Lytechinus pictus: one gene and its partners. The protein of the gene in region 3 interacts with the protein of the main gene of each other region in a pairwise test. Links are inferred from orthologs where the notes say so. Each region holds a gene or a part of one and is shown on either strand. Other genes may lie near its edges. The genes, in order: epidermal growth factor receptor kinase substrate 8-like protein 2; ATP-dependent RNA helicase SUPV3L1, mitochondrial-like; intersectin-1-like; dynamin-1-like.

Region 1 (7,139 bases), on a different chromosome or scaffold from region 3:
GTTGACGAAAAGAAAGGAACGAAAAGACGATCAGAAATATTGCATCGATTGCTGCATTCAATGATCCACGATACTATCCTTTCAAATATTTTGGGGTGAGATACAAATACAATCTAACTCATTTCTTTCTTCCCACGTTCACTTTCACTACCAGTAGAAAATTCAACCACAATTCAAGCCCCCTTCAGACACAAACATGCATCATAAATTTCAACAATCCAACCTAATGTGTCCAATACATTCTAACGAAAAAAATTTTAAAAAATCACCATCAATCTCAATACTACGAACATCATTCCTCAGTTTCCTCACATAATTTGCAAACTGTAATTAATTGATGGAATTCCTTCTCTTTTTATCTATTCTCTTTAACGCTCAGAGATATTTTCGTAAAAAGTGCTACATAGATGTTTGGATTATTATTATTCTATCAGATTAAGGCTTAATATGTGTACTGTAGATCCAGTCTGAGGTTACTTTGATATTCCATGTATGTCACATGATTTACACCATGCTGAGTACTGTCATTTGCTAACTTATCATACGGGTTACGAATACCATCTGGGCCCCAATGCATAAAAGTTACCATAATGGCACTTACCATAATGGCACTACCATGATGGTATGGTAATAAGGCTAGACAGCCAATCAGAATCAAGGATTCCATGAAAGATACCATTCGAAAGCACATTTACTATAATAGTAACTTTTATGCAACGAGGCCCTGGCATAATCCAAACAAAAGTTGATTTGAATACACGCACAGAAAACAAATTCAGATGCACTACATGTATAATACTCAGTGATCATTTATTTTAATGATTTCCCTTTTTATCAATAAAAAGTGATTCATGAAAGCAATACATTTATTTTCCTTTGTTTATTTACTTTTATTACACTGATGTACATATTTGCATATATTCACTTGTTTATTCAATCATTCATTTATTTAGTTATTTTTCAATCATTTATATGTTATATTTCTATTATTAATATTTATTTATTTTATTCATTTATTCATAAATTTATTTATATATTTATCATACTATTATAATTTTTTTATTTATTATTATAATAATAATAATTATCACTATTATTATTATTTAATTATTATATATATATATTTTTTTTGGAGGGGGGGGTATTATGGATTGCAATGACAAACTGAACATTCACAAATCATAACGACGAAAACGAATACTCACTGTGGATGGTGGCCCCCATGATGTCCGTAGGGGGACTCCTGGACGTACGGGTTCTGTCTTCCTGTCGGAATCGGCATCGTGGGTTTCGTTACGGTGTCTCTCGATCTCAAATTCTAAGATTCATCAACCACCTGAGGAAATGATATGAATATGAAATAAAAAAAGGTTGACTAGTAGACGACTAACAAAAAATGTCGAAAGTGGTCTTTGGTACATCACGTGGAAAGTCATAGAAATGACTAAGAAAAGTGAATAGAGGTACATACTCCTAAAGACAGCCAGTCAACCTGCCTGAAAGTTGGGTTTTCTCGCCGGCTCCTGCTCTACAACTCCTTTCACAAATTTTCAAACTTCCCTGACTTTCCATGACCACAAATCTTTCCAGGATTTTCCATGACTGTGGGAACCCTGTGAATGATGGTATTTTATTGTGAGGGGATGCAATTCTTGGGTATGTGCATTTTAACAAGCCTTTTTATTGTTTTTTGTGCATGCCCAATTATTTTGTTCATCTATGTTTTTATAATTATGTGACAACCATAATTTTATCATCACCACTATTTGTTTCAGTTATGTTCTGTTGATACCTACATGTATGCTTTGTTTTATGTTATTTATATCTCCTTTGTGTATGTATAATTTTGTTCTCATTTTGTTCATTTTAATGAATATGGAAATAAATGCTGAATTGAATTGAATTCTGCATTATCCAGAGTTGAATTCTATATAAAAAATTGTAAATTGTATCAGCAATAACAACTATCATAAATAGTTCACAAGTGATAAATAGTACTGTAAGTATCAAAGGTAGTCCTGAACTGAAAAGCAAACACACATGAAAAGTTATCAGAGATGATAAAATTGTACCTGTACATTCCAAAGGGCAAGTATTATCTGTAGACATAGATGTTGAATTGCATTGCAAAGCAACTGAATGTAAACAATAACATAGAATAAAAACAATTAATGATGTACAGTATGTGAGCCAATACAGAATTTACGAGTAAAATAAAAACCAAGATACTCCCGCTCTCTCATTCCCAAGCTCTTCCGCCCCCATCCTCCCCCTGCCCCCCCCCCCTGCAAAAACAAATGTGTTTGGTATCGGTTATTGATCAAACTGAGAAGAATGTTGTTTTCATGATATCAAAGATAGAAGTAAAAGGTGTACAAATGTATCTCACACAGGGTGGGAGGGGGGGGGTCATACAATTCTGGTTAATTTTTTTTCTGGTAAGGCATTTTTGCATGTAGCTTTGAACCCCTATATCTTATTATCCAGTAGCCTACTGGATCTGGGCGATCCCTGTATAAAGCCTATGAGAATTACAGAATCCAGCAGTCGAAGGGTTAACAGTGGAGTAGCCCAATACCTTCATCTGTCACTTCCAAGTGGGACTAAAGTCGGCAAAGAAAAATCCGCAGTCAAAACAGAAGTATTTTGCAGCCACTTTGGTTAATGATTAAATCCAAATTAAACAGGAACTATATCCAGAGTCGGTGGTATCCTGAAACTACTTGCAACTGTATGAAGCATCAATCTGCAGTGAAACTAGTAGGTTTTTATAACCATGTCCTGCTTCGGCTAAATCATTAAATCCAAACTTAAACCGACACTAGCACATCCACATCTCCGTAGTATTGTTTTGTCCAACTTCTGAAACTAGCAAAGGTATGTAGCAGCAATCCGCACTAAAAAAGTTAAAACCAACTTGGCTGCGGGACTGGCTAAATCCAAAATTAAACCAGAACAAACACGTCTATATCTTTGTTGTATTTCTTTCTCCAAACCCCGAAACTACAATGTAGCAAGGTATTCCAAAATATCCAATTTACTGCATTTCACTTGAAGCGCACAGGAGGACTTGATGACTTTATTCTAGGAGGTAATAATAATACACAAATGCAGTCAGCACAAGACCATGTACACACCTATCAATGCAATGGGCATATAATAGTTCTGGTTCTTTGCCCATATTCTTACCGCCCCATATCTAAAGAAGACCAATGAACCTTGGACTATGACGTTTCAATAGGACGTTTTCTAAAAGAACACAATGGTGAGGGTGTGTTCCCACAATAAACTTTGATTGCATGGCATGTCGTCCACATCCGGAAGGATATGTAAATCTGTAATGATGGCATACATGAAAATGTGATGATTGCATTTGTGAAATGATTGCCTAAATGAAATCATTGCCTGTGCCTGTATCAACTTTTTGCCTACATTATGACTGCCAAAATCAATGACAGTATTGATTCAAATGGTTGCCCAAAAGATTACTCATGATTGCAAATATTTGAAAATGACTGGCAATTTGATTTCCAAATCAAATGGGTGAAAACATGCAATGATTGCCAATATTTGGCAAACAAATCCTACATGTACAAAACACAATGATTGCCAATACAGGGATTCCAAATTGGAATTGAAAACAATGATTGCCAACATCAAATGACTTTAAAACACAATGATTGCCAATACAGGGATTCCAAACTGAAATGAAAAACAATGATTGACAACATCAAATGACTTCAAATTGCAATAATGATTGCGTAGTATTTACTTGCCAGAATGCAATGATTGTTTTAATTCAAATGATTGCCCAAAATTGTCAATATCAATTATAAGTACGGTACTAAATTAACACAAGCTCATGATTAATGTCAGTGATTTAAAATGAAATCAATCGAGGGATTGATTTTTTAATGATTTTTTATGAGCAGTGATTTTGAATGGGGGTCTGAAGTAGTCATGTGTGCCCTATTTGGACCTATGATTATTATCGTTATTATTACGATTCACTAAAAAGTATGAACAGACCCAAATCATACTTCTAAACAGCAATAGGTCACATGGGATCCTTCACAATATGGCTATTAATACGCTTTGCCATTCCTAAGCACTGGTTCATCCATGGGTGTATTATGGAATAACCAATGCACCGTGTCAAGGAATTTCATAACAATTCATAAAGCGCTTTTGTATAAAATGACAAGGTTGCGTTTCTCTATTTTTCAAAGAATTGTTCATGAAACCATGTAGGGAGGCTCTGGGTTGGGCACACATTCAGGGGATCTCACCCAGTTGATCATTTTCAATTCTTTAGTTATTTTTTTTTTTTTGGGGGGGGGTTTTGTTTTAAATCTTGGAATAAAAACAAGGAGATTGGATGGGTCGGCTAATGATACAGAGGTGTGAATATGAATAATCAATTGTAATACGCAAAAGAAGTGTACTGGAACCTGAGATCCCGAACACAAATCACAGCAACGGACTGTAACATTTTTCTAGAAACAATTACATTGACTACATGTACGATGTACAATAAATTGAAGATATTGTTTCTAGGATCAGCCTCTAGGCATGTATACAATATGGATCTGGGTCATATCTGTTGCATAAATACTTTAAAGCTAAATTACAGTAGTTGCAGTAAAACACTAATTTCGTGAGAAAGTCTGTAAAACCAAGGTTAAGGATGACTATATCATCGTGGATCTAGATATGGTACAGTTACATAAACTGAACTTTGTGAAATCATAAAATCTAAGCTGAAATACGATCACACTGAAGATCGCCAACACAGATAGGCACACGTGGGACAGTGTATTATTATTGCTGGAATAAAGACCCGACGGAAGTGACCGAATCCGCGCTTATTTTGCTTATTTCTCAGCAATTACACAATTTCTTCCAGAATCCTTTGGCACATATTTTTTATTCATACAAACAGACACTTGGGTGGTCATTATATTAGATTCCGTAAAAAGTCATTTTGAGATCGTTACCAGAACTGGAATTTACCTTTAATATCACAAATCCACAATTTCTATAACAAATTTACTCTTCAGCAAATGAAAATGAGTTATGACAGTAGCTTGGCTTTTAGTGAAAATTTTTTATTATGGAAGATTTTAAGGAACTGACCCTCAGTGGTCGATAGAAAGGCTTCCAGAAGACAATCATGCCTGGCCATCCCTTAATCTCCATAAAAAGATCTAGGGGCTCTTTCAAAGTTTCAAATGAAACCTAAAAAGTTATTGAACTACCAACTCTAATTTCTTTCTCTGCTGTGGCACACATAAGTGTGTGTATGCGAGTGTGGGTGGGGGAATACCATAAGTCCTTTACCGGGAATCCCATTCGGGAAGGGGGTAAGCGTCTTTTGCAGCACTTTTCCTGTGACATACCCCGTTGCTTTGTCTAGTATGATAGATGCTAGAATTAGTGCAAAAACAAACCTTGCAGGATTCCAGCAGGAATGGAAGCGGATGGGTCTTTTGCAGACCTGCCAACCTCTGGTAATGAAAAAGTGTATTATGTGATTAAAAAAAGTGTATTTTTCCCCAAAAAAGTGTATTTCATAATAAAATGTGTGGCGTGCTCGCTCATCGCGGCGCTCAAGCTGCATGCAAGCTAAAATGCGCACTGCTCTTGCAGATGAAAAAAAAAAACATTTAAACAATGTGTAAATCTCACCCTGGTTTTAACAAAATGATTGAAAAAAAAAGGACCAAATTACCTGAAATTACATTGATCTTACAACCATATTTGTGTAAGTTTTATGAAATAGAGACATACATAAAGAGATGATTTTCCTCAATAAATTACGATGTTTGTACTGCCGTATTTTGGTTGCAAAAACGTACTAAATACGCCCAAAACGTACTGGTTGGCAGGTCTGCTTTTGGTCAGGCTCCTGGTGCAAATATTCCAGAGCAGAATGATTTTTAAAAAAGAGTTTGTCACATTTGGGATCTATAGAGTGGCTGAAATAGAAATTCTGATGACAATCGAGTAAAAAAAGGGGGTCCCATCCACCATCCCCTGCCCCCATCTAGCCCCCTACAGACCTGTTGATATGCCCCGAAGCAGTGCCATCGCTGTACTTCCCCTTGATAAGCCCCTCTCCTTTCCATTTCAATGTAGAGAATAGTCCAGGAATTCTATGTATGCCAAAAAATTGTTTGCCTTTATTGCAATTTCTATAGATAGTCCAAATCCAAACAGCTTTGTGTGTCATTTCAATACAGAAGGCCAGTTCATCTCGCCATAATCGAGCTTCATTCTTGTTGTATTTGCCAAGCAATTTTTGCGCAATTCATTAGGTCAATTTCCTGGGTGTTGATCTTTACCAGTTGCCGTGGCGACTGGCATATTACCCATTTCTTGCAGATTGTGAGCTTGAATGCATAATGAAGAGCATTGTTAATAATGTTGGAGTGAAATGACATGCCAAACAAATGGTTAAATATGAATAGAGGATGTGGTACATATTTCAAATATCTGCAATAATTGTGTTTTGACGGGTCTCAGTGAAGTGTCATTCTATAAAGAAAAACTTCGCAACTTCTGAAAAAAATGTCTTAAAGATAAATACCAGTTGTGGTACGATCTCAAAACAGAATCCAATAAAATTACCAACAAAGTGTTTGTAAACAGTGTATAAATTAAAAAATATGTGGCAAAAGGCTCTTGAAAAAAATGTGAAATTGATGAGAAATGAGTAAAATAAGAATGGAATTCCATCAAATGTTGGGTAATTTTCCAAGCAATATTTATACACTGTCACACATACACTTTCCTGTATTAGTGATCATCAGAATTATCGGTTTTTAGCTAATATTTCATGATTTCTCAAAAGTAAGTGTACATTAATGTGCCAGATGTAGATATGTATGGTAAAAGAATGATGACAATTAATCTTGATTTAAAATATTTTCTCATGAAATATTTTTTTGCTGGAAGTATCTTCTTTTACCTTCAAGCGTTTTTTGGCACACAGGACCTCTCACAAGATAGCTATTGCACTATTTAAAGTTAATAACTTTACCACAATAATTATCTTAAAACCAAATACTACTTCCTATCCCTCTTTTCATTCAAAGTGATCGGTCCTTAACAACAGCTTAACATTTCAGCTGGAATAA
Region 2 (7,448 bases), on a different chromosome or scaffold from region 3:
AAATTGTAAGTAAATTCACTCTAGGCTAGGTTAGTAGTTGGCATATATTTTCCTGATTTGAGCCTGCATAGTGTGGGGATTGCAGAAATAATTTTAATTTTTCCAAGATAAATTGACTTGCGGGTTAAAACCGGACGGGTCAACGGGTCCCGCTTGCAAATTAATGGATTGTACGGGACGGTACGGTTCGGGTTTTCACTTGCGGGTTACAACATTAATATTCTCTATTTTTCTTCAGCTATTCCATACTACATTCTATGTAGGTATAGTTACAAATATATATATATATCTCTCTCTCTCTCTTTTCCATTTCATTCCTGAACTTTTGACTCCTAAACTTTGTAAACATTCAAAATTTCATTGTTTCATGCTAATCTCAAATGATTTACAATCTTAAATGGCAGCTTTTTCATCATTTCTTAAAGATTATTTTAAATACTGGTAGTTGATAAGTTTGGTAAACTCTCCACTCCGACATTACAGATCTTTTGTATATCTTTGATTGTTTTTCTGAATTATTGCCCACAGGATACTATCCTGGTACAAAATGGTGCAAATGCAGATCAACACTTACCATTGGGCTGGGTCTGTGAGGTCACTGATCTTTTTCAGATCGTCCATGCAATCCAGGGCAGGAAAGATCTGGCGGGCATGGCGTATGAAGTATGGAAAGATGTCATCTATATGCCCCGCCCCTACCAGAATGTCACTAAGAATAATATGCAGATCAGGCTCCACAGACTCCACCTCTGTGATGTATTTCCTGAAGCTCATGAAACTTTGATGAAAGAGGTTATCTGAGAAAGGATACCAAGACATGAGATAAGCAGGACATCAAGCTCTTCATTCTTTCTTTTCTCTTTTGTGTACATCTTTATCAAAGCATTTTTCATATTTTCCTAATCATCAGGGGTGTGTCATGAAAGTTTTCAGAACTGACTAAATTATCAGCAGTGACAATTTTAGTGAAATCCAGGTTTCCAGTGACTAAGAAGCATTGATCTGATTGTTACTATAGTAACTATCAGAGATTGACAAGTTGTCAGTGCTGACTAAGCTTAATGAAATGGTGACCAGAATGAAACTTACCCGCAATGAATGCACATATGTAACTCACTTGGGAGTAATTTCAAAGCACCATGGTATCTCAAACACTTAGGCCTGTATTCTGAAGCCACGTTTAACTTCAACCATGGTTTAACTCTGTGCTAAAATTATGGAAAGCCCAAAATTTATTTATCCTTCCAAAACTGTTAAAAATGATTTGAGAGAACAATGAGCTGATACATTGAAATTATACTGTTTGAGATTTATTGCACTCTTGGTCATTCATAGTTTATCCACAACTTTAAACCAGAGTTTACTCTAGATTTAACCCGACTTGAGAATACGGGCCCTAATAAACTATGCTGATTTGTGCTGGGTAAGCACAAGGAGGTAATGTAGATCAACGTCTTCCCAGAGGACTATTGACTCAAAGACTGAAAATAATTTACAATGATCCAGACAGGAGTCAAGTGCCATTTCCAAAGACATTTATCCACTTGGTGAAGGACAGCTCCAGGGTATTTTTTATTTATTTTTTTTTTTTTGGGGGGGGGTTCATGATGAAACAATGATGAAACAAATTCATATCAGTAGCACGTCCAAGCATTCTTGTTACCAATACACTTCTATTTCCTTCATCTTAAGAAATAGTAAGGACAGTTGTGCCTCTGTAAGTGCCACTACAATACATGGTGCTGTCACTGCTGTGCCTACATATGACCATTCGTAAGAGATCATCTTACCATCTAATCCTTCTTCTTCGGCAAGCCTCTGGATAGTTGGCCTTTTTGAAAACTTTGTGAGAATCTTCATCAATTCATCTGTAAAGAAATTGAAAAATAAAAGAACAAATATAAAATTAATATGCATGGATAAAAAATCACTGATTTAGATCATACCTGATCTTCGGATCGGCAGCCAATAACGATCTAATCAAGGCTGATCGGCTGTTTCACGCCGATCATACGTGTATCGGTATGATCGGTGGCAATTTGAAATACCTCTTGGCGCAATATTTAAACAGTCTCAAAGTCAAAGTAACTTTAAAACATTTCCTGATAGATTGTGCAATTAATTTGAGATCGTCGTGACATCTATTAATTTTCATTTTCCTTTCCGACGAGGTTGAGAAAATGCGTCCTTTTATGTTTCTTTTTGGAGAACGGGAGATCATTATGAAATGTATAATAAATCTAAGCCGTTAGTACCAAAAAAAACAATTTCAAAACATTCACAATCGATCGTTCATTAATAATGAATCTGAGATGTTTGTGACTACATTCTATTTCATTTTCCTTACAAGAAATATAGCCTTATAGCCACCACATTGCATTACATCATAATCATGATAATTTAGAAATAAGCCTATAGACCCCTAAAGTAGAAAATATAAATAACAAGCATAGGCGATAGGCAGGCCTGTTAACATACTCAAGTTATTTTCAACATGATTTTCATACCTTTCTTGTTCTTCAAATTTGCACCAAGCTCTTCACCGATGTTTATGTCATCTGGATTATTAGCAGGTTTTACAGGAACAGGAATAAACAATGCTCTAACATTCTTGTCATCCTTGTCTGAAAAACTCCGACAGATCCCAGATGAAGAAGTTGTTAACGCCGGTCGCCCGCTCTCCCGACAAGCTCCTCCCGAATTCGCCGCGAATAAAAATGATCGACGACGGACGGAGTGGATCCCTGACCCCGGAGTTGCGGCATGGTGAGAGTCCAACGTTCTGTTTAAAATCGTTCGTGGTACTGCTGGAAGTGTTCGTTGTGCACAAGAAAAACAACGAAATGTCCTGACAATGGAATATGGCCGACCATATTTACTAGACATTATAAAACAAATATATACTATTTGACATCAAGGAAAAATGAAATACCTGCTCCAATTGCTATTTCAATTGAGTTCCTCCGAACTTATTTCCACTCGGGAATATTTAAGGTTACACATGTTGTTAACAAGTTTGTAACGTAGAGGGCCATCTTAATCACCACAACTTTTTTTGAGAGGGGGTGGGGCGTTTCTGCCCTTCTGGAGCAGTTATTTCATTCATTTCAGAGCAACATTTACATGCACACAAAACATATTTTCATTTTGCCTTGTTTGCACTTTCCTAGCACTTTTAATATATCAAACATAATGTTTTATTTTAGAATGAAATGCATGGTGAATAAATTGAAGGGGAATTCCCACTTCCATTCTGACATCAAGTTGCAGAAAAATAAGAGAAACACACTCAATGAAAGTTTGACAGAAATCTATCAAAAAATAACTTTGGAGACATGAACTTTTGTGATACCATATGCGAATATTTGTATAATCTCCATAAATTTTATATTTTTATATATTGAAATGATTGAAAATATTTTCATTGCAAGGATCTGTGTCTGATAGCATATTAAAAGAACAGGTAAAATAATTTTCAATTTTTTTAGAATTTTGCTTTTTAAGGAATTTATATCTCACAACAATCAGAGAGCTGCCAGCATGTGACATCACAAAATAAAATTAGAATATTTCTCAATTTGTTCTTTAATGCGTTTTCATGAAATCACATGAAATTTTGCTTTTATTAAAGCCAACATTATGCTATGGTGAACCCCCCCCCCCTCCTTTAGAGGCAACACGACTTTCTCTTTGCTTTTATTAACATCTCTCTCTTTCCCTTGTTCGTTCTCATGCTCTCTCTCTCTTCTCTCTTCCTCCCTCCCCCTCATACACTTACGTGAAATGTGAAGTTTGTGTGTAATTCCTTGGTTGTAAGAAGTGGCATGAGTGCATACTACACACAATTGAACTCACTCAGTTATTGTATCGTTTTGTTTTATTTTGTTTATGCAGTGCTTATCATTTAGTTACTAGTATGAATATTTGCACTGTGTCTTTTCCACTGATGGTTTCCTCACCATTTCAACCCCCTTTTCAGGTACTTTCAAGCAATAAAAAAAGAATCATGCTAAACACTTCAAATGTTGTATTCTTGATCATTTTCTTTTCACACTATCATCTAATTCACATCTTCATTAGTTCCCAGAAGAGAACAAATAAATAAATAAATAAGCTACATTACTGCTCACTTAAAACCATACATTATTATCTACAAATATAAGAGGGAAATTTTTTGTAACACAATCATATATGTTTACTGCACCTGAAATCTCAAACTCAATTCCATTCAGCTTGAATTGATTAAAAGGTGAAATAAATGAGAGTTGATGATGTCACACTTTCAATATTTTGTTTTTAAGTTATTAAATGATATACAGACCATTTCAGGTTTTGTAGATTTGATCACAAAAAAAACAACATTTGAATGATTTGTAGAAGTTACATTAAAGGTCATTGAATGGACAGATCCAGAATTTAATAGCAGGGCCCGCTGGGAGAACAGTTTTCGGAACTGAAGCGGCTACCCTGGGTAAATATACCGCTATTATTATTATCATTATTATTACCAGGGGTGGGGCAATTCCCCCCTTCTGTTTTGAGGAAAAAAAACCCAACATGATCATCACTCACAGAGAGCATTTTCCATACAATGAAAAATATGGATTGGGGGAGGCCTGCTTGCCCCCCCCCCTTGATTATTTAAGTCTGGGGCATTTAACATGTTCAAGCCATAGAGTCAAAGTCAAATCATGGTTTACAAATATAAGAAGGAAACACATGAAAAATAATATATTTCATTATAAGAAATAAATGCACTTAATGCGAGACAGCAACTGTTCCTTATTTGTATTCCACCCCTGATATACATATTGTAAAATCAAGCAAAACTTTAACTGATTTTGACGAAATTGCAAGCATTATGCCTGTTTGATTTTTCACTATCTACTTACAATGTAAATCAACTTGATGTTGTTTTCAATGCCCTGTAACTTCCATACATAATGACACTGACAAGTTTAACTTAACAGTATACATTTTTTTAGAATGGAAATCAAGAACCGAAGATGCTTTGAAAAACAAATAAAAAGGATTAGCAAAATAATACTATATTTTAAAATCAATATTGACTGGATATTTCTGAAAATAATGGCAGGCTAACTTAAAGTACTCTACAGAATGAAATTAAAATAAGACCTTCTTCTTATTTTTTGAATTTCTCTCCTTGTTGCACAATTGCAATCCTGAAATTACAGCATGAACATGAGACTAACAAAAAATGAATGTGGTTTACAAATTTAAAGGGGAAAAAATGAAGCAGCTCTACTTCACTTTTTTTCTATGTATTATGGAGTAGTTTCATCGAAGATACCCCAGGTAAAACTACAATTCAAAGCTGAAAATATTTCACTGGCAAATGCATAGGAAAACAAAATAAAATGTCATATTGACATTCAAACTTCAGGACAAGTTTTAAAAAGAATAGCAAATAAACTGCATAAAGTAAAGGATATAGGCATCATCCATCAAGTCATTATATATCTGTTTTAAATCAATATGCTCTACTACTGGGTGTATCAGAAAAAGGGAAGGATTCTTGAAAATATATCAAAGATCATAAACCTTATCATTATTTGAATGGTCTATGTTTCAATGACCACACATTATCTAACAACGCTGTTTTGAGCAACTGGACAAAAGAAACAATCACTAAGAACAGAAAATAATTGTACTTGTTCCCGTCTCATAATTTTGTTTTACTTTCAAGAACCTTCTGCTGCATACAGATTCAACATGCATTGGAAGTGAACCACCTGCTGTTTGCATTTTTGTAATGCATTGTCATATAAACACAATTCTCTACTTATCTAGCACATTTGTAGTTGCTACAAGTCTACAACTGTATATGTTTCTTTGCTGTATTTTATCTGTGCTTTTTACAATTGGTCAGGTAAATATTTTTTATTAATTTCTACTTGCTAATGATGGATATGTACTGATATCAGAAGTTGATTGTTTCAATGACCACAGACTCATAATTGTTTCAACTCATGAATACAGTGATGTGGTGGTTAGACCATGCAACATGGTAATTAACAAAATGAGTTAAAAATTACAGTGCATTTTTCTAGAAAAAGTATTGCAGTGGAACAGTTTTTATGGGGGTGGGGCGCTCTCCATCCCCATGACTCCTGCTAAGGCAATGTCCATTGATCTCAGAATCCACTCATTCCTTGAGACTGCTGTAACCTCTCTGCCATCTCCTGCTCCTGGACCTTGTCCTGTGCATCTTTCTGCATCTTCTCCATCTTCTCTAGTGTCACTGACTTCAGTGGAAGAAGTTTTGGTTTGCAAAGGACCAAGGTTGGTTGCTCCTCCTGATAGACAAGTCCTTGTTTCGGGAGCACCTCCTTGAATTGGTTCTTGTTGTCCGGCATATCTGATGAGGATTTGGAACACCACAGTTCACAGTGAGTACAACCACTGTCAGGATAGGGAGACAAAGTCTGATGTATAGATTTGATGAGGGGCTGATGGGCGTGTCCACGTCAATCTGATTTCATTCTATGTAAATGCTGTTCCTGAATGCACAAAAAATAATAAAAGAAAACTGTGAAGTGCTTGTTTGATGTTAATGTGTTGAAATAAGATAAGAAGTTTTCATTCTTGAAATTAAAACCTAATGACAGACTAGTTAAAAAACATTTCAAGTTGAATTTTTATGATTTTTTGTTTTTAATATCTAGGCCTAACTCTTGACTTTTTGGCCCGAATTCACAAAGGAGGTTTAAACCCCGAGGGGGTTTAAACCCCCTCCTGGGTTTTTTAGTCCACGGTTTAAACCCCGAGGGGGTTTAAACCCCCTCTCTGTTTCACCAACGATGGTTTCTTTAGTCCATGGTTTAAAATAAAACCATGGTTTAAACCATGGTTTTATTTTAAACCACGGTTCTGAGCATGCTCAGTAGAGCATATGTTGTCTGCTACGGTCCTTGTTGACGATGGCAAACAGGGTTCGAAAATCCAAAGTCTGGGGTTTGAACTACCGATTTTCGCTATCTTAATCGATTATTTGAAATGAAATTACATTAAAAACTTATTCATTGTTGGATGAGTCGAATTGTATTGTACATCCACTATTTTTAGATATATCACAAAATGCAAGAAATTGAAAATTTGTCTCAACCACTGCGGTCGTCTGCGCGTCGACGATAATCTCATTTCGGTCCCATCCATAGACATCGATGTCAAGTTTTTAATCATTGAATACATTTAATTCGGCTGAAAATAAAATGACAACAACCAGATGTAATATCAAGATTACCCGATGAAACTTGAAGTATGAATATAATTACTTCATCAGTTTCAAAAATAAGTAGTATCTTATCAGATAACTTCCTCATAATACTTACATTTTGGTGGTAAGCGGCATTTAATATGAAAATCAGCTGTTGATTTTGCATGTCTACGATCTCGATCGCTGAGCTGAGAGTTAACAACGCGCATGC
Region 3 (8,018 bases):
CGAAAGTATACAATTGTTTTCTTTGTAAAGTAATGATAATTATACGTTTATTTATGGTTCCAAACATCATCAAAATATAGTTTAACATAAATTTTTACATACCTAAACACACGATTTGACGAATTCTTTGCATAAATTAGAGATAGAATTTATCAAAAATGTTGATAAGTGTCTGAAAACGACGAATACGAGTCCAGTTATGGATAACCTGACGTGGTAAAATCTTTATCGATTCCATTATTTTATTAAAAAATGAATGGTTTTGTTGCATTTTACCAACAGTTTTTATAGTTACTGTGCATTACAATTATTATTGAATGATCTATCACACAAGTTTTTCAATGTAATTTCAACTTCTATTAATGATTACGTAAGATTATAATTTTCAAATTTCGAGGCACTTTCGCATGTCATAGTCTACCCACGTGAAGCCACTATGTCATTAAGAAAGAAGTTATGACAGGTTCAGAGTTGTCATAAAATAATATTTAGTCAGGTTGTTGTCCCCGATCTTGGCAGAGGGCGTCGTGAAACGGTAAGCGGACAAGTAGCTCACCATCTTCGATTTAGTCAAGAAGTTAGACTTATGACGGTGTTGAGAAACGGGCCCCTGATATTTGACTGGAATCACAAGCTTATTTTCCTATTTTTCAGCAATGACACAATTTCTTGCTGAATTTTATGACACAGTATCTTTTTCAGTGCAAAGATACACTTGGATGGTATGAACCCATTTTGAAATTGTTACCACAGAGGCATTTATCTTAGAAATCAAATGTACGTACAAGAACATTTATTGATTGATTTGGTTTGCATTTTTTCCCCCTGATTTTAGTGGCAATAGCATTGATTACTACTTGCTTTATCTATTTTAAAAAAAAATAACAAAACCCTTTACATGTACATGTACATCATGACATCATTTATCATTATTTTTAATTGAACAAAGAATAATTCATTCAATATTTGAAAAATAATGAGCAATATTTTCTTCCACCATACATGTAGACCAAATCAAATATTATTATTTTTCATCACAGAACATAATTGACAACAAAAACAAAAAACAAATGATCCATGTGTGAAGTTTTGGTTTATCAGGTCAGACATAATTTTTCTTATTTCTTTCTTAACTTAACATATTGCTATCTGCTATGGCATTCCTACAAAAATTGAAAATTTATGATTTGTGCAATTTGCCTATTAAAAGGAACATGGCTTTCAAATTCACTGACATAGGCATTTGTGATTTGATGATTATTCATGTATTCCTTTCAAAATATTCATTTTATCACATCCAAGATGAAGAGTAATAAATAGAGCCTTCATAATCACTGGTATTTGACAGTAGCCTAAACAATAGTCAAATGTGCCAAAGGCAGACAATAAACAGATTTCCAAACTTTATCCCTGATGTTCTATTCTAGTCACCTGGTCTATACAATGCCTTTTGCTCTTAGAATTTGAATACCGTACTCTACTACTGGTAAAGCTTACGCAACATCTACATTTGAAAATGATAGTGCTTATCCTAATGAAAAATCACAAAGGTCATTTGAGAAAAGTTGATCATGAGCTAACCGTGAACTGGCTTATTAACAGATGGGATACCGCGGAGCATATCAATTTTAAATCTGTCTAGAGTAAAACCCCCAAACATCGGACGATTCCAAATATCGGACGGAAATGACGTCAACTCGATCCTCCCCACAACTACAGGGACCTGCACTGGCGGGGGACTTGCATGCATTGAGATACATGAACATACCTACTATTGAACTGCACACACAGTAGATCCAGGTTGCTGCTCAAACAAATATTCCAGGGGTAAAATCCATGATTTTGACTTCCAAAGTGGCAAAGATTCTTATGACCCTCGCTAATTATGGACTCCAGAAGAATCTCTTAAGGGGAAAGTGATTTTCGCCGGAAATATCACCGCCGAGACCGCACCCATGTTCGATCTATCGCAAAAAAAAATCTGCAATGGCCGCTGCAGGGTTCCCCATGGCAGGAAATACATTGTATGGCACGATCCCAAACATCGGACATATCGGCCGATTGAATTGGAAATGCGTGAGCTGTTAACGCACGCGCGCTCATTTTCAGAACAAAGTCGCGCCCAGCTGAGCGAAGACGTCCGATGTTTAGAGCCGAAAGAGGTCCATTTGGTAAGTAAATTATTATTTACCGATTTCTATATCAAAATCATTGATAGAAATACCTTATTAAAATCGGCATTGCGCAGCTAAAATTATTTTATCAACAATTGAGCAATTATTTTGGAGTCTAGAGCGCGATTTAAATTGCCAAAATTGATCGCGGCAGCGGCGCACAACTCTACACGTCCGATAATTGGAAACTGCGTCCGATTTTTGGCAAAAAACAAGCTTCTGGTAGTAAGTAAATAATTTCCGTTTACCATAATTTTTTCAATTCTATTTTCTATGACATTAATCATGTTAATATTCAACATTTGTACTACGGAATTAACATGGCTTTTATATGATTCAGTAATTGCATTTTTGTTACTTTTGGTCATATTATTAATTTTTTATGGAATTAGATCTATGCTTTGGAGTTTTTTTGAAGTGTCAATATATATATTTTTGGGCACACATTACAATTTACATGATGACTCCGGCATCCGGCATATTTTTTTCAATTCTATTTTTTTATCATGACATTATTATTAATATTCAACATTTGTACTACGGAAACAGACATGATATTTATTTGATTCAATGATAGCCTATACACTGCCCACACTCCACAGTCACACTAGTGCACCACAGCCTCAGGCTCAGGCCAGTGTGGTCACAGGACACAGCCCAATAATAAAGCCAAGGAAAGGCCTCATCAGCTCAGTCATGTCACTCAGTGGTGGCAGTGCTCACCGCTCACAGACAGTCACACATCCGTCCCCACTCACGCAGGTCACATCAACGAGTGCAGTGGCAGGCTGGCAGCACATCGATTTGGAAATCATACTCACCAGTAATACTCTAATATTGATGAAATGTTTAATAAATGACAGAGGTCCTTTGAAAAGGGTGAACGAAGGGGGATTCTAGTAAAAAAAGAAGTTAATCAACTCAGCTCGGTTCGATCCGGAGACAGAAAGTGGACTCGCCCATCTTGCTACATGTAGAACCTAACTTAGAGGAAATGTAACCCACCCACCTTTATAGAAAGCGCAAGTTTGATTGGTCAATTTTCTGAGAATGTGGAATTATTACAAGTTTCAGAGTAGACACGGAATGAATGATACTAGCTACAGACTTGGCAATTCTGTAATTGAATCATCTGATACACACATTGCACAATGAAATATATTATTCGATTTATAAAACATCAAGAAAACAAGCAAATCAGTCTTCAATAAAAGTTCTAACGTTAGCACGCCCCTTCTATACGAACCAATAGAAATCCATGTAACAGCAGTAAATAATCACAATTATGACCTTTGACATATATCGTCTGCTTACGTTAAGTTACTGGACTTTCGGTCAATTCAAGCAGAAAGCCAGAAGTGAATATTCATGATGAAATTCGTCTATTGGTCAGTAAGATCAGACGGTCCGCTCATAAAAAAAGAACTTTTACTTGGGAATGAGGTGAGTGACGTGAATCTGTAAGTTAAGACAGAATTTGAATCGAACTATGGGAACTTTGATTTGATTTTGATGATGATTGCATCCGTGTAAGTACTACTAAGTTATGTGTGTGCGTGCCTTTGGCTTCCGCGCCCTGCACTCAACGTGTCATGGGACTTGGCATGCATGCTCTGCCTTTGCTCGCCGCGCCGGCGGCGCGGCAGCCGCCGCGGCAAGGCCAAGGGCGCAGCCGGGGCCGAGGCGGTCCAGGACATAGCTGAGTGAGTGAGTGAGGGAGGGAGGGGTGACTGAGGGTTGGAGGGAGAAAGTCAAAGAGCTGGTAGGGAAGGAGTGAAGGAGCATTGACAAAGACATTGTTTTGAAGTTCTTTTTTAACTAATAATGTTAGTTGTTATACTGACTGTAACTGGTAAAATAAAAAGGATGGAGTGATTAATTTAAATTCAAATGCAAATCATGACGTAGACATCTGCCAGCTGTCTGTTTCGAGGAGTTTTTTAACATTTTTTTAAATAATAAATTTCTCCTCGTACACAGACGGCTCGCTATCGTGCAGCCACCATAGTAGGGGGTAAACAATGCAAAATCCCCCCAATGGGGCTCATCAATTTTTGTCTTTATTTCATAAATATACAAATTACAAGGAGAACTGTATACACCTCCACTCCAGTTTAATAAACTCTTCTTGGACTTGGACTTGGAGTATTTCGGAGGAACATCATACCAAGTATCCGTTTACGTGTTTTGGCCTGAAATGCACCAAAACGGGGAAAACTAAACTTAAAAGGGGAAAAAACAGTGACTTACTTCGGCTGTTGCGCAACTTCACTTCCCTGTTTTATCCGAACTTAATACATAAACATATGGCCATTGAGTCCCTGTACAGATCGAGCTAGAACTTTGGTCTCTGTATTTGGTGAGTGGAGCCAACGGAGTTCAGTGGAACAGCCAACAGACCGAAGCTTTTGGTCTAATCATGAAGCTTAAATAGCTCCATGGTCTAATCATGACACTGCATGGACACAACTAAATTATCCTGCTCACAAATTTCTGAATAATTGAAAAGGTTACCTTCTTCGCTGATTTTTAATTAATGCACTTCTTTAGCCTAGGTGGGTGTTTCATGAAAGTTGGCAGCACTAAAAAGTTGTCTTTCTCCTACAGTAACCATAGTAACAGTCAGAGGCTTGACACTGCATGCATGGACACAACTAAATTATCCTGCTCACAAATTTCTGAATAATTGAAAAGGTTACCTGCTTCGCTGATTTTTAATGCACTTTAGGTGCCAGGGTGTTTCATGAAAGTTGTCAGCACTAAAAAGTTTCTTTCCCCAACAGTAACCACAGTAACAGTCAGAGGCGGGAGCTTCTCAGCCAATCAAAAGCGAGGCTTTCACTAAAATGGTCAGCACTGACAATTTAGTCAGGGCTGACAACTTTGATGAAACACCCACCTGGATGCGAAATCGAACGATACACAAGACCAGCATGATGATGATCAGAGCTCACTCTCTCACAAGTCATCACTGGGACATAGTTTGCACGTGGGACAGATAATGTTTTGACATATTAGCCACAAATTTATGTTTTCAGTCGCTTATAATATCAAAATTAATTCCATATAAAACCATGAATATCTTGATCGGGAATTTACATTTATATATCCTGTACAGTATCCAGTAAATTTGCCTTTTTATAAAGAGGCAAATTTAAGTTTGAAGAGGAGGCAAGCGTAGCGTCGTAGGTTGACTATAAAATAAAACTATATGTTTGAAGAAAAGGAATGAAGGGAATAACTTTAATGTTTTGATATTTCTATATTTTAAAAATATTTTGAAATATTTTGGATAAAATTAAGAAGTGGCAAAGTCTGTGGCATGGAAGAAAAACCAAACTCACTATTTGGATTAATACTCATTGTTGACTGAAAAAGGCAGAGAATCGAGATCGCACAGTTCAGTGAGTCAATATGCCTAAGTTTTTTTTTGCAAGATTCACTAAATTGCCAGCCTATTTTTCAGCAGACCCAGACCTATAAGTTGTACACAAAATAAATAACAGACCATGAAATACTGATTTATGATCAATAATATATGGGAAATAATAAGATGGCAAATATAGCGATCTTCAACGCTTATATATAAGCGTCGAAATTTGTAGCCATCTCCTTGTATTAGTCTATAATATACGACGTGTCAAATTGTCAAATCCAGATCTCCTCTATATATATATATACCAGGGGGAATTGTAGCGAACTAGTTCGCTATTTTCCAGATCTCCTTTATATACAAACGACGGGAAATTGTAGCGAACTAGTTCGCTATTTTCCAGATCTCTATATACATACGACTGGAAATTGTAGCGAACTAGTTTGCTATTTTCCAGATCTCTATATACATACGACTGGAAATTGTAGCGAACTAGTTCGCTATTTTTCGGATCTCCTAGATATGTACACGAGGGGGAATTGTAGCTATTTCCAGATCTCTATATAAATACTACGGGAAATTGTAGCGAACTAGTTCGCTATTTTTCGGATCTCCTCGATATATACACCAGGGGGAATTGTAGCAAACTAGTTCGCTATTTTTCGGATCTCCTCTATATATATACGAAGGGGCATTGTAGCGAACTAGTTCGCTATTTTCCAGATCTCCTCTATATACAAACGACAGGAAATTGTAGCGAACTAGTTCGCTATTTTTCGGATCTCCTCTATATATATACGAAGGGGCATTGTAGCGAACTAGTTCGCTATTTTCCAGATCTCCTCTATATACAAACGACAGGAAATTGTAGCGAACTAGTTCGCTATTTTCCAGATCTCTATATACATACAACTGGAAATTGTAGCGAACTAGTTCGCTATTTTTCGGATCTCCTCTATATATATACGAAGGGGCATTGTAGCGAACTAGTTCGCTATTTTCCAGATCTCCTCTATATACAAACGACAGGAAATTGTAGCGAACTAGTTCGCTATTTTCCAGATCTCTATATACATACAACTGGAAATTGTAGCGAACTAGTTCGCTATTTTTCGGATCTCCTAGATATGTACACGAGGGGGAATTGTAGCGAACTAGTTCGCTATTTCCAGATCTCTATATAAATACTACGGGAAATTGTAGCGAACTAGTTCGCTATTTTTCGGATCTCCTCGATATATACACCAGGGGGAATTGTAGCAAACTAGTTCGCTATTTTTCGGATCTCCTCTATAACCTTGAACCTTGAAGAAGTACTCTCCCAAAAGCGTACACGCTGTCCTGGAGAGGGTTGTGCTATGTCAGGTGCTGCCAGTGCTTCAGGTGATGTGGTGATCCTGTGGTGGTATTCTTGGTGCACTATATACAGTGTGCTAGGTGCAGTGTGCGGGTGGTGCGTGTGTGTCCCTCTTACAGCATCTTAAGGGGAGGGGGAGGCAACATTTGCTGAATGATAGGCAATGTTGCTCCCCGGAAGCCAGGTATAGAGGTCGAAGTTACAGCAGCGTTTGGGAGAGTATTCCAAATACGGATGGTTCTTGGGAACATACTGTACATGTAGCAGTTCACTCTACAAAAAGGCTGGGTGTACTTGAGCTGATGTCCAGTGTGTTGTGAACGTTGTGGACGAGAACTGCTGCTTAACTTAATCTGATGTGGCATGTTGATGTAAACATAATTGTGATGAATTTTGTAGAACATCTCACATTGGCTAAGAATGCGTCTGTGTTGGAGAGTATCCCAGTGAAGAGTTGACAACATCGATGTTACACTGGATTCTCTGCTATAGTCATGAAGGACAAACCTAGCACCCTGACGCTGAATGTTCTCAATAATGTTTGTACATCTTTCTGTATGTGAGGATTCCATGCACATGAAGCATACTCAAGTTGTGGTCTGACAAGTTGCTTGTATGCAATGTCTCTCACTTTCAGGTCACATTTACCCAATGCTCGACGTATGATTCCAAGAGTACGAGCAGCTTTGGAGGATATCTTCTGTGCATGGGAGTTCCAACTCAGGTTGTCTGTGATGGTCACACCGAGGTATTTACAGGAGGTTGCCGTTGGAACAGGTTGGTCACTGATGGTAAAGTTGCAAGCCAAGGGTTGTCGTTTCAATGAGATACACATGTGGGCACACTTCTTGACATTGAAGGACATATCCCACAGTTTTGCCCAATCTGATAATGTTGAAAGATCTCGCTGGAGAATGGCGTGGTCAGCTCTTGTCTTGACCTTGCGATACAGCACACAGTCATCAGCAAAGAGTCTGATTGGTGATGAGATGCATTCACAGATGTCATTGATGTACAACAGGAATAACACAGGCCCGAGTACTGAGCCTTGCGGCACGCCTGAGAGTACACTGGCTCGTGGTGAGGATGTTCCATCAACATGAACTGACTGAGA
Region 4 (8,120 bases), on a different chromosome or scaffold from region 3:
TTGTGAATTTTTCAAAATTATGAGTTCAGGCTGCATATTTATTCTTTGCCAGGTTATCCTCATTTGGAAAAGTTGTACATAATATTTATAGATTTTGTGAAGTTTGTTAACACTGCATGGGATTACAAAAAATGTAATTTTTGCTAGTACATGTATGAATAATTACATATTGGCCTACGTGTAGTTTGATTTTAATATATTAGTAGCATTCTTATCCCTACGTGTATCATATGGTGTCTCCATGGGCCGATTGCACGAAAGGGTCTTTCCAAGGACCGTCTTTCGTGTCGCCCATCTTTTATGATACGCCATGTGAAACGCATTTCAAATAAATTATCTGCAAATATATTTTATTTGTCCGTTAAAATAAACAAAATATTTGTTTATAAAATGATGTGATATCTCATGAAATTGTATAAAATTTGATTTAAAAGCAAGCTTACGAATTTTATTTGTTTATCATAAATTTCAGAAACACCCCGCTTTATAGCGCATCATAAAAGATGGGCGACACGAAAGACGGTCCTTGGAAAGACCCTTTCGTGCAATCGGCCCCTCTTTTCTCCACGTCATGGGAAAGGATACAGATATGCAAGAGAGTACTACAGTAGGGAAAAGAGAAATTGAGCAATCCAGAGTAAATTTATAACATACATGTAGTAAATTAATCAAGTTTTTTGTAGAGTACCCGTAATTCAATGAATGGTAGGGGGTCCTAAAGCTATGCAACACTCGTCGCGCATGTAATTTCAATGGCAAAATGGGCACTCTGTGCGTGTGAAGTACGACTGCAGAAGACAAATGATTCCTATTCAATTTTTCTACAGAGGCTGCAAAATAACTAAATGCGGAGAAAACCAGCAACTGTTTGGAATTTGGGAGTAATATTCACTTTAATTTCACATTTTCCTAAAGTTACATGTATGTATAGCATATTTTAGAAATTGAGGCACAGGAATTTCTTTGCATGATAAATTAAGGACCCCTTATGTACATCGGGCAGCAAAATCAAGGTGTTTGGAAAACATGGCATGGCAGGATTTTCGTATCAGTGAGTTTTGTGATATTTTCTTCTTTAGAATATTATACACAAATTAGTGAAAGATAATTTGTTCAAATATTAAAACTGGCATAGTTTTTATCGTTTGTAAACAATGTGCGTAGCTTTAGGTCCCCCATCATAATAAAAAATTAATTCATAGAAATTGAAGTCAATTACAATTTTTTGCAATTATAATTACTTTCCCTTCAAAAATTTGAATTACAAAGTTAAGCAGCCTCCTGTTGGGTCTCTTGCTGTAAACCAAGAGGTAGTTTTTATTTGCACAGTGCACACTCACTTTTAATGTACATACAGGTACATGTATGTAAGTGAAATTTAAAATTACTTCAACATGGCACCTCGCACTGATACACAGAACGTTTTCATCCTGGGATAGCTTTGAAGCTGCTGAAAGGGATTACTCTTCTCAAGTTTCAAAGATTACAATTTACTCATAAAAAGGTAATTAATTTCATAATTGAGCTCAACTCTGACACTTACTTATAAGAATATAGGAATGTTACAGTGTATGTATGTTATCAACTGACAATTTTTGTTGAATAAAGAATTCATGTTTAATCTTAAGTTAAATTCTTAGATACCCAGACACGGGGCCCCCTTTCATACACCTCATGTCAAAAATGCACTGAAAGTTTACCAGAGACCCGGGGGGGGGGGGGGCACTTAGTATATAATGCATAATGGGTATGTGCCGCGAAGGGGACCCCCATTTTTACACTCAAATTTCCGTTCCAGGGCATAGCATTTTCATCTTATTGAGAAAAAGAACTAAGAAAGCCGCTCCGAAGCATAGCATTTTCTTCTTATCGAGAGAAAAGAAAGAAATCCGCTCCAAAGCTTTGCATATTTTTCGTTACGCCGTTCCGGTCGCATTGATCCGCCACAATGAACTGCAATTTTGGTGAAAAGCGGCCGCAGAGTGCTGTCCGACCATCGCCTCTGCGCGAGCGCACCCGGTGCCCGTGCCGCTGGGTTAGCTGCATACACGTATGCCCGCTCCATAGGGATGCACACGCAGGCGACCCGTTCCAAGGACCCCCGTTTTCACAAACATTTGTAGTTCCGAGGACCCTCCTTTTTACAATAAGTCCGCTCCAAGGCCCCCGTTTTTGTCTCGCCCGCGGCACATACCCACCACTTTTTTGGTTGAGTACCCCCCCCCCCCCCGGGCCAGAGACACAGTTGATCTATAAAATAGGTTAACCTAAAAATTTGCATTTTTTCCAGTGATAAACATCTTTTTTTAATGCTCAAGTAACACAGGTAACAGCTCAGAGATAGGCCCTAACAAAAAGTCAAAACTCCAAAAGCAACAATTTTTTTATTTTAAAACATCTGCGAGCATCTTTCCAAGAGCAAGATTAAAGAATCAAGATAAGATAAAAGATACAAGAAAAGATACATCAATTTCAGCCCGGCTCGATCGACCCATTCCACAATGCAATCACAGTCGATCACACAAAGCCAGAACAGTCACAGTCTACAGTGCAGAGCGGATCAACAGCGTAGCTCGGGCCGGGTCGATCGGGCTACGTCTAATCACCACCAGGGTCTAAGCCGCAGGAGATCGGCTTCCGCTCTGGACCTAAAAGCAATACCTTTACATTTTTGCTAATATGATCCTCATATATTGTAAATAACTAAAATATAGTTTAATATCATATTCCTAAGAATCAGAAAATTGAATTTAAAGCGATTATATTGAAAAAGATGTGCTATAAAAGACCACAATTAGTTATTGATTGAGTGAGATTGAGAGCCGGTTTTTTCCAACACAAATGCACAGAGCTCAGCGCTCATTTACACTCGACTCACCTCCCGACAAAATTTTCGAGGACACTGCTTTTTCCTGCACTCTGACCGCCAACGACGGCAATTTGTGGCAAATCCAGCAGACCTCCTACTCCAATGGCAGAAAATGCATCTTGCAGTCGATTAACAACTGGAATAAGATCTTCCATTCCCTTATTCCCAGCCATGATTGCGAGTTTATTTTTCTTTTCGCATAAATGTTATTGCAAAATTAAAATCCTATGATGGCCGACTCCCCCCTTCACGCGCATGCGCACGTAAACCGTATCAAATTTACTCGCGCACCCTTTTATTTTACGTTCTAAACGAACGCTACGATACACAGCGATCATATAAGCAACGAATTCAACAACTTCTGGCTCCACTATTCAGATTTCTTTTACTACCTATTTGCTATTAGGCAAGTTTACAATGACGTCATTCATTATGTGTCATCCTCCTTCGCCCCAAAACAAAAATCCTTACCAGGAAATCACATTCCACTCAAGGAATGGAAACCCTTAAAATAGAAAGCGAAATAATCGTTTGTTTCATATCCTTGTTGTTGCATTGTGAATTCCATGCTTCCTGATATCTGAAAGAAATCACTAAATTAAAGTTCGAAGTGTGATACACCTGCCCTATCATGGGAATTCTCCTCATTTTTTTATTTGGGGGGGGGGGGGGGGTTATTTGCCTTTAAAAAAATCTTATTTGAACATAAATCATAACTAGGTAAGCGTATTGTCGACCTTTAGATATTTTAATCAGGGGTTGCGCCTGATGGGTGTCATATTCATATTCTTCTGATTGTATATATTGTATTTGGCTCTGCCCCACTTTACAATGTTACTTTAATTACAGTAACAGAACACCATGTAAGTACGCTCCCAAAACACATGCAGGGTTTATGTTGGTCCCACAATGGAATACTATAATAGTCACCCCTTGCCACCTGTACCTGAGCTTGTTAAATTAAGGGATTCTCCTCACACCACTTCGGTGCAGGCTGCTATACTAAAGAAGGCGAGGGGGGGGGGGGTAATGTATTTTTTTTTCGAATCTCTAATTATGAAAATGAATGGACCAGTTTAATTGATTAACAGATTTATGTATATGTTCATGAATAACTTATTTTGCTGGTAACTTGGTGTATTATTTAGGAAGTTATTTGTCAGTTTATGTTTGCATTTCACGGCTGTTTGTAAATGTCACTGAAAGAATCAATTAAAAAAAAACTTTCAAACAAAAAACTTGCCTCCAGTAACTTGAGGGAGAATCTTTCCTCTCACAAGCAGCTGTCTATCACCTTGAGCATCGGTCCCTGGTTTTATTAAAAACCGTGACTTATTCAGTACAAGACCATTTAATTGTGTTTACCTTATATCTTAAAGATATCTTAAAGGCAGAAATTCTTATGTTTGAAAAGATTATTTTAAATTGCTGCATTGATAAATAACGTTTGTATTATAATCTTGACTATTTTTTTTACTTAGAAATCTGCTATATTGCTTTTAATTTGTATATCAAGATGTATAAAAAAAACAATTTGAAAACGTAACAAATGAAATGGAATGAAATGCTAAGAGAAACCGAGTGATGGCGCTAGCCCATATAAAAGAAAAGGTCGTTCAAGTTTCACGTATCTATGATGGCATTATTATGGAGATTCAGATTCCTTTAATGCATATATTAACTCATAAAGAATTGTGATGACAATAATGGTGCTGGTGGTGGTGGTGATGGTGATGATGATGATGACAACGATGACGACAACGATGATGATGAGGAAGATGATGAGGATGATGATGATGACAATGATGATGATGACGTTGATGATGATGATGATGGTGATGACGATGACGATGATGATGTTGATGACGATGATGATCATGATAAAACTTAAAGCTTTTACACCATATACTGTATAAAAAATTAAGATGAAATTATTATTTGTACCATGCGTCCATGCCTGCTTATTCTTTATTCATTCAAATTATCTGGGTGCTCTCTCTCTCTCTCTGTCTCCTTCTCATTATTTTATACACTTTTAGAAATATATTGCGGTTGACACCCAGCATGCCCAGTCCCATATACCGTGTGGGTAAAAAAAAATCCAACTCACAAATCCCCAATTTAAGGGTAAAATATGACACGAACATTATTATACATGGCCTGAAGGAGTATCTTCTCCCAAATAATTAAATACCATATTTATGTGATATTTGTTAACGCTTGGGTAATCAGGATTTTTTTGTTTTTTTTTACTGTGATGTAAAGTTCGATTTGCGCCAAAGTAAGGCATGGCTGCAAAGGATGAACCCAGATGTCATTGGTGTCATAATCTTATATAAGTATATATTCTTGCATTATTATGTAGTACACATATCTGCAAATCTCCCCTTTCAATGAAATTAACATGAAACTTGATACTACAAAGTGTTTATTGAACAATTAGTATGTTAATTATTGAAAATGTGTTTTGCAATTGAGATTAATGCAAACCCTTGTAGGGTTATGACATATACATCTGCAATGGATTCATTCATTGCAGTCATGCCTTACTTTGGCGCAAATCAATATTTACATTATTGCAAATAGTATTTACTGATTATCCAAGTGTGAAGACATACCATATATATATGGTATCAAATTGTTTGAGAGAAGATACTCTTTCTCGCCATATATAATAATTATGTCTTCATGACATATTTTTCCTTGAATTGTGAATTTGTGAGGTGTCAAGTTTTTTTTAAATCACACGGTAAATATAAATATATACGTCATGGTACAAATTATACACAATAATTTTTATACTCCAATTTTCAATAGTCCTATATACCAAGTCAATGGTCTGAAACTTGTCCATTGACTCTCACTTCGTACTTTTCACGAGACAACTTTCGATGATTTATCAAACAATTTAGTGGTGACCTTTGACCCGAATGGGATAATCAACATACCCCAAGCTGGAACCTGTAAAGTGCCGACACCTTTTCAAGATTTCCTCACGCTCCACCTCTCAAAATGACTCCGGATTTTGGGTCAATACGGCCATTTCTTGTGCCTTTTACTTCTTATGATCAATCAATCTTATTCACGCCCGTTATTTATGACAGAAATCGGACTTTTACGGCTGTAATTCTCTGACGAAGAATATGGCTTTATCACCGATGAATCAGGGGTTTAAACTTTAAGCGATTTCAGATATTTCATGAAAATGCGAAACAATCACATACAGAAACAAAAAACATACCAAAATAGTTTCAAAATAGTTATAAAAATTGTACATATATTGACAATGGCTTCATTTTTGTTTATAGCTTTGGTGTTCCTATACACCGGGGGGGGGGGGATTGGCCCCTACGAATAATTAACCCTAAATGATAGAAACATCATTTAAAGATTTTTGCTACATGAAAACCTCAAAAAGTATTGTCATCGTTTTTAGTTTCAGCATGCAATGAGAGACATTTCGTGAGTGAATAAATATTCAATCTAGGCCTATTACATATTCTAGCTATATACACTCTTAAAATGTTGGGTAACATACTGTTCACACAACAACTGGTTAAAAATGTATCCAACTCTGGGTAGTTTTTGTTTTCAACCAATACTGTGTAGTTTTCACCCAAACCACACAATATTGGTCTAAAACTGCCCAGAATTGGATAAAGTTTTAACCAATTATTATGTGGACAGTACGTTGCCCAACATTTTTAAGAGTGTAGCTAAGTAAATTTATAATTGTACTGAATATCATGCATAAATATAATATGGATCAATACAAAATAAATTCAAAACTAATTATGTAACATGTTTGTATTTCTTAAACACTCCAGTTAACTACTGGCTAATCCAAACGAACAGAAGCTGCAGCAGTCCTATGCACAACCAAGTCTTACAAATGGTGGCAGCGGTGGGATTCGAACCCAATACTGATTTAATTTATGACGCCTATACATATAGATCTACATAAATGTATTTCTACACATGATTTCTGATCTAATTCATTATCACCAGGTAATCTAAATGCCTTTATCAAAATTTATAAAGAACGGGGTTGGCTGGCGCGCTGACTGAAAATATTTTTAAGACACAACAGACAGATTTTGGAAAGGCCATTAACCATTAGACAACATTTCGAATTTTCCATATTACTGCTTTCTACGCCTGAAAACACGTGTGAGCTGTCCATCAACAAATTAGTACCTTCTCAAGTCCAGAGAAGCATTAAATATCGTAAAACCCCGATTCGAACACGATCCACACGAACGCTGTCACTTAAATTTTAAACACAAGTTTTTTGTGTTTTTTTTTAAATAGGAACACTCTACAATTATTCAAAATATCATAACTTTACAAAATAAAAGGTTTTTATAATAATGGCAGGACTGCTCCTGAATATTAATGGTAAAAAATTTGACACTTTTTTATATCCAGAAATCTAATTTTGCGACAGATTTTGACATATATACCACCACCTGTATACCCCAGTGGACCTAGGCCTGTCTTAATTACGCTTGCATCATCATGGTTATGATTGAAACAGGTTTTTTTTGTTTTGCAATAGTATTTATTAAAATCATTCAGTTCAAAATCATACAAGTAATACTAAATTGCAAAATGTTAACAAAATGACATTCTCAACAAAAGCACTGTTCACAAAAGTCAAATAATTATTCATCATACAGAAAATTGCACAAAAATCATATAGTATTTCGACATATTTATACAAGCTCGTAATAATATTTTTTTTTATTGAATTAATCATTTAGTTAAAAAACATATACATAACACATTATCTGAAAGAATATTGCCCAAAAAAGAACTAGGTAAATACCTAGTCTAAAAATACAAAATATAACATAAAATTAATCTACAGCGAAGCAGTGGAATCAGATGAAACTGAATTAACCAAAAAAAAACATACACCCTCCCACCCTTGGACTTGTTGAGATGTCATCGATATCAAGTTCATAGGCCAGGTTGCAGTCATACTAATCAAACTGACTTCAGAACGATCACGGCTAGATACTTTGTTACGACTTTCATACCATGGGTCGGTTTGAAGTCGGTTTCTTTGGTGCATGTGACTGCGATAGTCTGGCAGTAACGGGTTCCTGCGTCCGTAGTTCCACCATGAACAACGGATTCAAGAACATAGAAAATGTATTGTCAAATGCTCTTCATGACAATGAACAACCAAGAAAAAGTCTTTGTCCAAAATCGATGAATCAAAAGAGCAGTGACGTCCTGGAGAGCG

Evidence for each region.
Region 1: the proteins of intersectin-1-like (region 3) and epidermal growth factor receptor kinase substrate 8-like protein 2 interact in a two-hybrid assay, tested with the Caenorhabditis elegans proteins (2 studies listed by BioGRID). The link is inferred for Lytechinus pictus from reciprocal best matches to the Caenorhabditis elegans genes itsn-1 and eps-8.
Region 2: the proteins of intersectin-1-like (region 3) and ATP-dependent RNA helicase SUPV3L1, mitochondrial-like interact in a two-hybrid assay, tested with the Caenorhabditis elegans proteins (2 studies listed by BioGRID). The link is inferred for Lytechinus pictus from reciprocal best matches to the Caenorhabditis elegans genes itsn-1 and C08F8.2.
Region 4: the proteins of intersectin-1-like (region 3) and dynamin-1-like interact in a two-hybrid assay, tested with the Caenorhabditis elegans proteins (2 studies listed by BioGRID). The link is inferred for Lytechinus pictus from reciprocal best matches to the Caenorhabditis elegans genes itsn-1 and dyn-1.

Annotation. Positions count from the first base shown.
Region 1 is NC_087250.1:9,625,865-9,633,003, reverse strand, and holds the start of epidermal growth factor receptor kinase substrate 8-like protein 2, read right to left. Parts: upstream 3,159-7,139; 5' UTR 2,579-3,158; intron 1,337-2,578; 5' UTR 1,283-1,336; coding exon 1,206-1,282; intron 1-1,205.
Region 2 is NC_087256.1:1,236,867-1,244,314, forward strand, and holds the start of ATP-dependent RNA helicase SUPV3L1, mitochondrial-like, read right to left. Parts: upstream 3,159-7,448; 5' UTR 2,887-3,158; coding exon 2,508-2,886; intron 1,869-2,507; coding exon 1,791-1,868; intron 798-1,790; coding exon 575-797; intron 1-574. UniProt on the Caenorhabditis elegans protein: ATPase and DNA/RNA helicase able to unwind DNA/DNA, DNA/RNA and RNA/RNA duplexes in the 5'-3' direction.
Region 3 is NC_087248.1:26,509,068-26,517,085, reverse strand, and holds the start of intersectin-1-like, read right to left. Parts: upstream 3,173-8,018; 5' UTR 2,996-3,172; intron 1-2,995. Other genes in the region: quinone oxidoreductase-like protein 1, read left to right, coding at 3,543-3,617.
Region 4 is NC_087259.1:16,671,865-16,679,984, reverse strand, and holds the start of dynamin-1-like, read right to left. Parts: upstream 3,128-8,120; 5' UTR 3,043-3,127; coding exon 2,879-3,042; intron 1-2,878.